Linked DNA regions of Danio rerio. The protein of the gene in region 3 interacts with the protein of the main gene of each other region in a biochemical or structural test. Links are inferred from orthologs where the notes say so. Each region holds a gene or a part of one and is shown on either strand. Other genes may lie near its edges. The genes, in order: kpnb1, stat1b and kpna1.

Region 1 (4,253 bases), on a different chromosome or scaffold from region 3:
CATTTATCGTTTACATGCGCTGAGATGTACTGACCGACACACTGACCGCTCTCGGGTGTGCGGGACGGTGGCGAGCGTTCACAGGCTGGTCAGTGGTTGTTGCTCAGAGAATTCAGTCGTATTTCGCCACTATGCTGGTACCCACTGTTTATTTTTTGCTGAGATTCACATGCTAACTCATCCTCCACTCAACATGAGCGTGCGCGGGGCAGACACACACACACACACACACACACACACACACACACTCACACACACTTCTCTATTCCATCACCCAGCTTGAGGACTGATTGGTTTGGGCTTGAGACGGCCGCTGCCCCGCGCCGCACACATCAGCCGTGTTCAGTCGTCCTCATGTCTCTGTCTGCCAGATTCTCTCAGTATCGGTTGTGTTTAGCGCTGCATTTGACCAATTCCTGATCACATTTATAAATTGATGGCCGCTGCATTGATCGCCGGCGGTGCACAGGCGGCCGCTGGGATATGTGTGCTGATTGGCTGTTGGAGAGCGGGGGGGCGGGTCTGCAGGACGGGGCGGGTTAGCGAGGGTTGCGTAATGTTACAATTCTGTTGTGTATATTAAATCCCAGTTGTTCACGATGACTGCAATATGAATTATGTTAAATAAAATATTGACTTGAATGCCTACAGTGATGGAGGAGTGTCAACTACAGCCTCACACACACACACAAACTGTCTCATACACACACACAAACACAACCTCACACACGCTTTCTCACAGACACACACACACCATCTCACACACTGCCTCTTCTACAGCAATAATAAACTGAGCACACTGAGCAGGAGCGCTGTTGTGTGTGTGTGTGTGTGTGTGTGTGTGTGTGTGCTTCTGCACAGGAAGCTGCTCTAGAACTCTCCTCCGCTCGTGTGTGATCAGTGTTCCTCAGGCTGAAGGGCTCATGATCACGGCTGCAGTACACTATGCTGAAGTACACTGAAGACCTGCTTCCTGTTCCCTGTGTGTGTAGTGTTCTGCAGAGGGATTGGGACAGCTATAACGAGCCCTCAGTGTGTGTCATAATAGTGCACATCTGCAGTTCACTTCATCAAAGTGCTGAGTAATGATGACTTTGCGCCTGAAGGTGCTGTTCCTCTAGTAATCAGTGTGCCGTGGGAATCACACCACACGCTACCCCTGATAACAGTGCGCTCCGTGTCTTCATCATCTGCTCTTTCTGACCCACACTCGGTCTGACGGGCTCTTGTAATGAACGCAGTTCTCCACACTATCGAGACGCTCCCTCAGTAGGCAGCAGAGCGTCATGATGCTGCGCGTGGGCGGGACCTGTGACGTCAGCGCGTGATATCGTTCCGCGGGCGGGAGTTCCGCGCGGCCTTTTCCTCGCGACAGCGGCTGATGAGCAGAAGCGGTAACCGCGAGAACGGCTCGGCGCTTCAGCATTAGGCGTGGACCGACCGACTTTACCGACCGACTGCACTCGTTCTGCCCCCGCGGACCCGACAGGATGGAGCTGATCACGATCCTCGAGAAGACCGTGTCTCCAGGTAAGCAATCCTCACACGCGCCTCTCCCGCGCACGGATGCCGTTTCTCCCGCGTGATGACCGGGGCTGAGCCGCTTCCCCGGGTGTGAGCGACGGTTAGCGGGCGGCTAACGCAGCGCAGGCCCGGTCGCTGAACCGCGAACGCGACGCGTTAATCTCCACCCGTCGAGTGGCGAACAGCAGCCGGACCCTCGGCTCGCCAGAGCAGGAGCGGGTTACCGGCCTGCTCGGTGTGTCCGGTCTCTGCGCGGTAACGAGTGTTAATGATCAGAGTTCACACACCGACACACGGCTCTACTTCATGGTCGCGCACATGTCGCGCCGCCGTGGGGTTTGTCCCGCCCGCGCTTCTGTTGGTAAAGTTGTTAGCAGTTAGCATGCTAGTCAGGAAGTGGCTAGGTGTTAGCATGGCTAGCACTCAGTCATCCTGTGCCGCTGCCTCTGAAAGTTCGCGCGTGTACGGCCGTGTCTAGTTTACACCGACTCTCCTCCCGCTCGGAGCCCGGTAAAGCGCTGTGGCCGAGCGCGATGCGGAGTTTCCCGGTTCTGACGCGCAGCTCCGCGTTTGGCGGGAGAGTTTCACAAGCGATCGATCAGGGAATTGACTGATGATTGTGATTGATTTTCAGATCGGAATGAGCTGGAGGCGGCACAGAAGTTTCTGGAGCAGGCGGCCATCGAGAACCTGGTGATGAAGCACACACACACACACACACACACACATCAACTGTCTCACAGACACACACACACTGTACTACTGTGTTGAATTGATAGTGTGTAAATTGTTTCTGGACCAGGACTCTGTTGTGTGTGTGGATCTCAGTACTGTGCTGAGATCAGCTCCAGCAGACCACTGGTTCTCCTACAGGTGTGTGTGTGTGTAACTCTGTGTTCTGCTTCTCAGCCGACCTTCCTGGTGGAGTTGTCCAAGGTGTTGGCGAACCCGGGGAACACACAGGTGGCTCGCGTCGCCGCCGGCCTGCAGGTCAAGAACTCTTTGACCTCTAAAGACCCGGAAGTGAAGAGTCAGTACCAGCAGAGATGGCTGGCTATCGACACCAGCGCACGCAGGGAGATCAAGAACTACGTAAGGATGCTGTGTGTGTGTGTGTGTGTGTAAGAGAGAGAGAGAGAGATCTTCAGGATGCAGGAAGGTAAAGTGTGTGTTCACAGAGATCAGACACACACTCCTAAATGATGGCGGTATTTGCTCAAACGGGCTGGACCAGCTGTAGAATGTGGATCTGCAGGAGTTTAGTACTTTCACTTACAGTAGTGCAGCGCTCAGCTTCCCCTGATCACTGACGGAGCATGCTGGAGTGTGTGTGTGTGTGATGTTGATGTGAGCGTCAGCATGGGGAACTTGAGTATTCATCTTGAAGTCCTCATGGCGGTCACTCTGCTGTTCTGAGATCAGCCTTTACAGCAGCAGGAGTTCAGTGATGATCAGCTGTGGTGAAAAACTTCGCTCAGTTTCTCCTGAACATCACTGCAGATGATTATAGTTTAATATTCAGGAAACCGCAGCACCTGAACACTACACCTGCAGACAGCCGTGTTCATGATGGAGGCATCGTGTGTGTGTGTGTGTGTGTGTGTGCGCGTGTGTGTGTGCACCGCCACTGCTGTTCTTCTGCTGTGCAGACAGGCCTGTGGAGGTTTAATGGAGCTCTGTGGTAGAGCGGGTAAATTGAGCTCTGGGCTCAGCTGTGCTGTTTAAGGCCCGACTGAAACACCTGCATTATTAAAGGGCCATGAGACCCCCTCGTTTCAGCAGGGTGTTTTCACACCTCTACTCTGGAAAAAGTCAGAAAAGTGGGCGTGTCCAGCTCTGTTTAGGGGGGAGTGTCGGAGGAACTAAAGTGGGAGGGTGTGGGAGTGTCTATTTGGGCACGCGCGAGTTTCAGAGTCAAAACACACACAGTAGAAAGTGATGGTGTTTAACCTACATGCACATCTGTAGTCGAATTATTTGCCAAATGATTAAATGCTGGACTTTAACTGCAGTTTGGCTCTTTCATTCAGGGAATTCATTCATGTCCCTCGCGACAAACGAGATATGTGATTCGAGGAACTGCTCTAAGCGTGTATTTTTCATGTAATGTTTGATCCCGCACGGCGAATGAGAGAAAAAAAACTCAGCATTTCCCGGAAACTTAAATGCACTCGGCAGGTAGTGTCAGAAAGCCGCGTGTGTTATTCCGGTCACTAAATGCGGTCACAAAATCCAACACGAGGGTAAAGTTTGGTTGTGGTGCTAACGTGTTTACACTCGGTGCAATAGTTTGTTAGATATAAACAAAGAGCGCTGGTCGCTCACTTACCAAACCTGTAGAGACAGGACAATCACCAGCAACTAGAGCCGCGTCTTTATTTAGAGGAGACTACAATCCGGATCTCAGCGTTTGCAGATGAGAACAGCTCTCAGGTAAACAATAATCCTCCTTAGACACGTAAGTTATTGTTGTCGAGCGTCGCGTACACTGTTAATCCACACGTGAGTCCAGCTGCGCTCTCACAGAGAGAAAATGAAAACAAAACTTCACTGCAGCAAACTATTAAAGCAACACTTCACGCTTGTTTTGCCAACACAACGTGGCGTCTCTGTCGTGTAAACATGGTGACAGTAATGAATATTAATGAAGTTGCACAATAGAGCGCGCTGATTGGTTTGAACCAAGCCTTACTCATGCATTAATGCAGCACACTGTAAGACGTAATAAG
Region 2 (3,656 bases), on a different chromosome or scaffold from region 3:
TGACTTGAATTGAGTGTATAAATCATTGAGTCATCTCACCTAGAAGTTTGTCGGCTATTGTTCTCAGCTGATCTGAGGTCAGCGCTCGTTTGCTGACTGAAGAAAACTGCCAGCTTATGACCTTTGAAAGCTGAACCCATTTCACCGGTGGCGGATTCAAGAAGAACGTCAGATTCTGAGACAGAGAGCGAGATCAAGAGCGTGAGTCAGAATAGAGACGTTAGCGGAGGAGGAAAATGTTGATGATGGTACTGTAAATGGGCCCGTACATGTGGTTCACCGCTGAGCATGTTGTACCATAAGATTGAGCCCCAGGCACTGGGTAACTGGTTGACATGTGAGATCACCACAATAGGAAGTGATATGATCTGTTTAAATTGAAGCAAACAGGTCTGGTTAGAATTACTGGTCTGATCAAGTGTTTGCACTGGAGTAGAAACTTTTCAAAGCACTTTACCGATAAATCAACACTCAGCTCTGGCTGAATAAGTTGAGTTTCAAAGCTAAGTAGGTGCATCTCCTCTGTAACGATGAGAGGCGTCTGAAATATATATAAAAAAACATTTGTTAATGCTTTTATCACTTAATTTGACATCATTGCACACAGTTAAAAGCTGTTAATTAACAGTTTTTTTTTATATTTTGTTATTCACTAGTGTTTGCCATTTTTTTACGGTTGTGAATTCCATTATGGGATGTTGATGTCTGCTCTGTCGACTTTTGATGTTGAAAATTCAACTCTGCAGTTTAATAAAGCGACTTTTATTAACATTGTTTGAAATAATATAATGTATAAGAAGTAACATAATTCTGGGAAATAAGTCTGTAAAATAGAAGAAAATGTACTGGCAGATTATTACAAGGTTTTTGTAATCGTCTGATTGGTGAATCATAAATTGAATAATGCGGGACCAGCCGCTAGCAATCATAAGAACGTGATCCTCTTAAAATAATTTTATAAATAAACTTCACTTCAAAAGAGTTTAAAGCAAACTGACATTAGTAACTTTTAACTGAATGATTAATATAATGAAGTTTATGCAGTGCTATTTTACAATTGATATTACATTTTATTATTCAATTTCTGTACCTAAATACTGTTTGACTCTCTGGAAAACCATAAAGTTCTATGTTTTTCATTGCTCTTTTGCATTTATTTTTTGCTTGCAATTTGTTTATTAATTTTCATCCATGATTCACATCCTTACAAAATCACTACAATCAGTCTAAATTCAAGATTTCTTTCCAAAATAACGTTATTAAACCATTTGGTGAACATTTTAATCATATTGCAATATATACGCAGAAAACCTAAATGTTGCAATGTCAATTTTTTTTCAATACCGTGCAGCCCCACAATATACAGAAAACTGCTCATTTACAGATATTTTTTAAAGTGCATGTTTTTTTAACCTACCTCATTGGTTCTGCTAGTTTTCATTTCTTTTAATTGCTGTAGTAAACAGTGAAAAAGAAAGAGGAACAATTAAGTTTTGGATTTGACATGATCATGTGTGTATGAATCAGCTGTGTCTTATTCTGTAGTTTTTTTAACATCATACCAAATGACGAAATTCAGCTGCTAGACATCCACTGGATTCTTCTAAGTTCATAACTTTAGTATTCGTCCCTAATATGTTGAATTTTCTACCTCTAGAACATTAGAATATAAGACAATGTTATAATTTCAGCTGGTGTCATGCTGTACATAAATTATAATTGTGCTATACAAATGATAAACTATTTAAACATGTATTCAAACAAAACTATCTGAATAATTTATCAGTTGTATTTGTGCGGTTGTCTTATCACATTGATAAATGGTGTGTATAGTTAAGTAATATAGCAGTCTTGTTCAATTGTGGGTTGCAGAGGTTTTTGTGGATGTTGTCTGGGCCACAAGATATTACATTGGACTCCTTGCTATATATCTAAATGCTCTGTCTCAGTCAAAATATAATTTCATAGTATTAATAAACCATATTTGTTCTCTGAAATTCTGTGTAATATGTTACTTACCCTTTTATTGTGTCCCTCTCTGTTAAATTTCTACAGGAGGAAAACAATAAAAACCATTAGATAGATAGATGGATGGATGGATGGATGGATGGATGGATGGATGGATGGATGGATGGATGGATGGATGGATGGATGGATGGATGGATGGATGGATAGATAGATAGATAGATCTGTAGGTAGGTAGGTAGGTAGGTAGGTAGGTAGGTAGGTAGGTAGATAGATAGATAGATAGATAGATAGATAGATAGATAGATAGATAGATAGATAGATAGATAGATAGATAGATAGATAGATAGATAGATAGATAGATAGATAGATAGATAGATAGATAGATAGATAGATAGATAGATGGATAGATGGATGGATGGATGGATGGATGGATGGATAGATAGATAGATAGATCTGTAGGTAGGTAGGTAGGTAGGTAGGTAGATAGATAGATAGATAGATAGATAGATAGATAGATAGATAGATAGATAGATAGATAGATAGATAGATAGATAGATAGATAGATAGATAGATAGATAGATAGATAGATAGATAGATAGATTGATAGATAGATAGATAGATAGATAGATAGATTGATAGATTGATAGATAGATAGATTGATAGATTGATAGATAGATAGATAGATAGATTGATAGATTGATAGATAGATAGATAGATAGATAGATAGATTGATAGATTGATAGATAGATAGATAGATAGATAGATAGATAGATAGATAGATAGATAGATAGATAGATAGATAGATAGATAGATAGATAGATAGATAGATAGATAGATAGATATAGCTTACTTGTCAATAAAAACTTTCACTTTCAGTTGACAATTCAGTTCAGGGAGTTTGACTAGTGACCTATGAAATAATGTAATATAAAATAGCACATCAGACTAAAGATTGACTTTGAATAAGCATCACTGGAATTAAAAGCTCTTCTTCAGAACCATCAATTAAAATGAGTAAAAGCAACATTAATAATGAAAGAAACCCACCTGATCTTGACGGTGAACTGAACTCCTGTTTTTATTACCAAGGGTCTCTGAGGATGTGTTGGCATACAGGGCTGCCTCTCCACCACAAGAGAACTAAAAGACACGCAAAGAAAGATCAAAACACTGTCGGCCTGTTCAACACTGAAATCTGACACACGCCATAATATATAATCAAATTTCTGTTGGTTTCCTCTTTTACTAAAGCGTGTGTTCTACATATGAAGTCATTTTCATGATGAGCTGTGGTGTCTCACTTTAATATGAGGCTTTTGAAGAGTGAAATGGCCTGTTCATCCAGCTGGCCCCTTCCTAGATTTAGCGGGTCGTTGCTGTAGGTGAATTTCTGGACCAGTTCCTGAACTTTCTTCAGCTGCTGACGGATCTGCTGGAGACACTCTGCCACCACCGTGAACCTGGAGAACAAGTCACGCTTTAACTATTTATAAAACGTATATACTGTATATAAATATACTATACTGTAAAAATAAGAGCAATACAACCAAAAGGAGCTCCATCCTATGCCCACATACAATTTGTAAATTCATTATAAATGCCTTTCTGTAATAATCGTCTGATAAATAATGCTAATTTTGTAATTAATTACAACTTACAAACCTTAATTTTAGACAAATCAAACATAG
Region 3 (3,656 bases):
TTTAAGTAACATTTATTTTAAATTTGCAAACTACTTGTGCATTGTTTAAAAAAATGTATTGTACAGATCTATTAAGATCAAAACAAGACTTTTACCTTGGCAAAATCCGGTGGTGGATTTTTCCCTCTGCACAGGTTAGACAGAGCCCAGACTGCGTTTCTCATCATAGTCAGGCGATTTTGTTTGGCCAATAACCTGCAATAAAAATCAGCACAATCAGAACAGCCATTCAAAGATATGGGTGCTCTAAAAAAAAGATAGTATCACTTACTGTACTAGAGAGGGCAAAATATTGCAGTCCAGAACATAGTCCCTGCATTCAGTGCTGTCACCGGCGATATTACCTAAAGCCCACACTGCCTGCAAAGAAAAACACAATCACAAACTTACATAGGTCCTATGAATTCTCAATATACAAAAAAGCTTGGAACAGACTGAACATTTCATTTGCAGCTAAATATTTTATTTTTATTAATTTTAAAGTATAAATGCAGTGATGATTTTCTAAAACGAATTAAGTTGAATTCAAGTTTATTTGTATAGTCAGGGTTCATACACATTTTAACTACTAAAATTCCAGGACTTTTCCATGAAGTTTCCAAAACATTCAGGTAAATATTTATGACCTACTGTCATGAAATACACATGGTAAATAAGACAAAACACACATTCAAATTTATTACACCATATCAAGAAATGTGTGACAATCTATGTAATATGTTTATTTTTATATTAGTGAAACAGTTTTTAGAAAATATCTTGATGTCTGTATGAAAATTATCTTTTGGAGAAATCTCCGTGATTTTTCCAAAACATTTTGGGTTTATTAATTTTCCTGGACCTGGAAAATGACCTGACAAAATTCCATGACTTTTCCAGGTTTTCCAGGATCGTATGGACACTGTATAGTGCTTTTCACAATAATCATTATTTCAAAGCAGCATTACAAAAGGTGTATGTTATTGCATAATAATCAAAATCAGAAAAGTTAAGGTTAATAGTTACCATAACTTTATTAGTTGCTGATTACTTAAATTAACTAGTAACTAAAAACTTTTAACAGAAATAAGATATGCTTATATATAAGCATAATTAACCTGCAGTTATATAGTATATAGTAAATGAATAAATTGCTTTTGTCTCCTACAGATGAATCACGACTAGGTTTACTTTTTAGGATTTTATTGTAACATGTTTGAGTATTTCGGGCTTGTATGTAAAAACCTAGGGCTGGGTGATTAAAGAAAGATTTAATGCGCATTTTGTCAGTAAAGCTGCTTCTGCAAAACTTCCAGGACGATTTCTTTCAGATGGAGCAGCATTCCCTACACCAAGTTGTAGTTTATTGACAAGAAATTGAATAAACCTTATAAAAATGACATTAAGATAATCGTTCTGCTGTTTGTGTAGCTTCTCGGTGAACTACAGCTCTGTATAGAGCGGCACAGAAAAATTCTATATATAATAATGCCTTTTATTGTACTCCAAATACACTTTATAACAGTCGAGTGTTTGAAATAAATTCTTTTGTGAGATGATTTCATAGTCGTGTGTTAATTAGTCATGCTGATTCAAAGCAGTTAAATCTTTAGGCTAAAATGAAAACCTATGAGAATTTTCTGGTTTCTTCATCGGGGGGTGTTTGGAGAATCTGTGAGAGCGCCCTTATAAGATATGCAATTTAATTTCATTTAATTGCCCAGCCCTATAAAGTCCCTTGTAAATGTCTATAGTATGAGATGCTTACTTGCTCCTGTACATCTTCAAAATCTGAGCTGAGCATCTCAATGAAAATGGGCACTGCCCCAGCCTGGATGACCACACGCGTCTGGTGGGATGTTCCTGAGGCGATGTTAGTCAGAACCCACGCTGCTTCAAACTGCACACAAAGACAAGACGTCTGTCACCATTCTGCACAAAAATGTTCACTAATGCACCATTCAAGAGCTGATGGGATTAAATAAAGATTCAGAGAAGACTTGCAGAATATACACATTCCAGGAGTGTGAGCATGTGCTGGGAGAGACTCATGCTGGATGACTCACTGGCTCACTGCTGCGACTTGGGGTTTTCAGTCTAGCAGGTTTTTTTTTTTTTCAATTTGTGAAACAAATCTTGATTTGATTCAGTGAATATAGATTTCACAATCAGCAAACACTATTTCAGATACATGTAATAAGAATTATGAAATATAGCAGGGCATTTTCAAAAATAGTAGGCCCCTTCATAATGAACATATAAACACGGAGATTCTAAATAGATCAAATAAATTCTACATAAATTTAAAGATATGAAACCTCCCCTTCTCATCAGCAATGAGTTTTTGACTTTTTTTACATGCTCTTGGAATGAAAACGATTCAGTTCACAAAACAAAAGTCAGAACAGTTCCAAAAGAGTTTTTATTTTCTTTCTTAGGCTGCTGTCTTTTTAATACCTTACATAAATAATGTGTCTTTCTCTCTTGATGCAACATACTGTTTTAATATTTCCAAAGAAAAGAAATATATAAAATCTCTTGGGATTTTAATATTCCTTAAATATCCATCACCTGTAGTGTGCAGTTCTCTCTTCTTTTCAGGAACTCAACAAATCGCTCCACGACACCAGGGGTGGCAATAACCTCATCAATAGGGGGATTAGGCTCTAATGGAGGGTTACAAAGACAGAATTAGCATAATTTAGCACTAATTTGATTATGTAAATGCTTGATTTTTAGTCTTTGGGGTATTTCACCTTTAGATAAGAGCTTTCTGAAGCGCTGTGTTCCTATGAGCTGTTGTTCTGGAGAGCTGGAGAAGATCATCTGTATCATGTCTTCAGAAATAACACTTCCCTTTAACGATGGAAAAACAAAAAAAGGCAATTAATTTTTCATCAGTAAGTAAAAAGCTAAGACTAGCCTTCATTTTTGCTGTACTACCGTGATTTGGTCCATATTGTTGGCCTGTGATTCCAGGTATCCGCTGTCAGACATCCCATCATCTTCCAGTGCTCCATCCTCCTCCACTGTGGCCACATTTCTGCGCTTGAACAGCTATAAGAACGTTCAAATTTGTCAAAGTTGAAACTTTATCCCCAAAGCTTCTCTTAAGAGTGCACTTTACTTGCAATTTTATTTAAATATATTTTATTTTTCAATATATATTTTATTTTTTTATTTACAATCAAGCACTCATGCATCTTCACGACTCTTCAAAATGAAAGCTTCAATTGATGAAATTGAAACAGAAATATTGTTGTCCAGTAGAATGTACTTTTCTAATAATAATAATAATAATAATAATAAAATATTTAAAAACATTAAATATGACAAAAATATGATACAATATGATTTTATGCTAGCCCAGTAATAGTTAATAGTGAATATAATACTTTACACTATATACAATACACTTTTATAAATTTTAATCAAACAAATTCAGATTGGTGAGAAACTTTTTTTCAAAAAGACAAAAATTTCTTTTCATTATATTGTCTCAAAGTTCATTCCATCCTTCCTATAAATTTAAGGCTAGTTTAATAATATCTTTATTAGTAAAACCACAAGAGTCAAATAAAACAGAAAAACAAGTCACTCTTATCTCCACTTGACTTACTTGTTCATCTTTCTTTTGTTTTCGAAGTTGCAGGCCTTCTTCCTCCCTCCTCCTCCTC

What was found.
Region 1: the proteins of kpna1 (region 3) and kpnb1 form a complex in vitro, tested with the Homo sapiens proteins (6 studies listed by BioGRID and IntAct, with this or other methods). The link is inferred for Danio rerio from reciprocal best matches to the Homo sapiens genes KPNA1 and KPNB1.
Region 2: the proteins of kpna1 (region 3) and stat1b form a complex in vitro, tested with the Homo sapiens proteins (2 studies listed by BioGRID). The link is inferred for Danio rerio from reciprocal best matches to the Homo sapiens genes KPNA1 and STAT1.

The regions. Positions count from the first base shown.
Region 1 is NC_133194.1:51,598,380-51,602,632, forward strand, and holds the start of kpnb1 (importin subunit beta-1), read left to right. Parts: upstream 1-1,338; 5' UTR 1,339-1,490; coding exon 1,491-1,530; intron 1,531-2,158; coding exon 2,159-2,217; intron 2,218-2,433; coding exon 2,434-2,616; intron 2,617-4,253.
Region 2 is NC_133184.1:42,961,633-42,965,288, reverse strand, and holds part of stat1b (signal transducer and activator of transcription 1b), read right to left. Parts: intron 3,429-3,656; coding exon 3,270-3,428; intron 3,109-3,269; coding exon 3,016-3,108; intron 2,879-3,015; coding exon 2,819-2,878; intron 2,050-2,818; coding exon 2,020-2,049; intron 1,654-2,019; coding exon 1,563-1,653; intron 1,454-1,562; coding exon 1,418-1,453; intron 542-1,417; coding exon 458-541; intron 369-457; coding exon 270-368; intron 176-269; coding exon 40-175; intron 1-39. UniProt on the Homo sapiens protein: Signal transducer and transcription activator that mediates cellular responses to interferons (IFNs), cytokine KITLG/SCF and other cytokines and other growth factors.
Region 3 is NC_133199.1:24,830,415-24,834,070, forward strand, and holds part of kpna1 (importin subunit alpha-5), read right to left. Parts: coding exon 3,599-3,656; intron 3,037-3,598; coding exon 2,923-3,036; intron 2,836-2,922; coding exon 2,736-2,835; intron 2,646-2,735; coding exon 2,551-2,645; intron 1,880-2,550; coding exon 1,748-1,879; intron 361-1,747; coding exon 272-360; intron 196-271; coding exon 96-195; intron 1-95. UniProt on the Homo sapiens protein: Functions in nuclear protein import as an adapter protein for nuclear receptor KPNB1. Binds specifically and directly to substrates containing either a simple or bipartite NLS motif.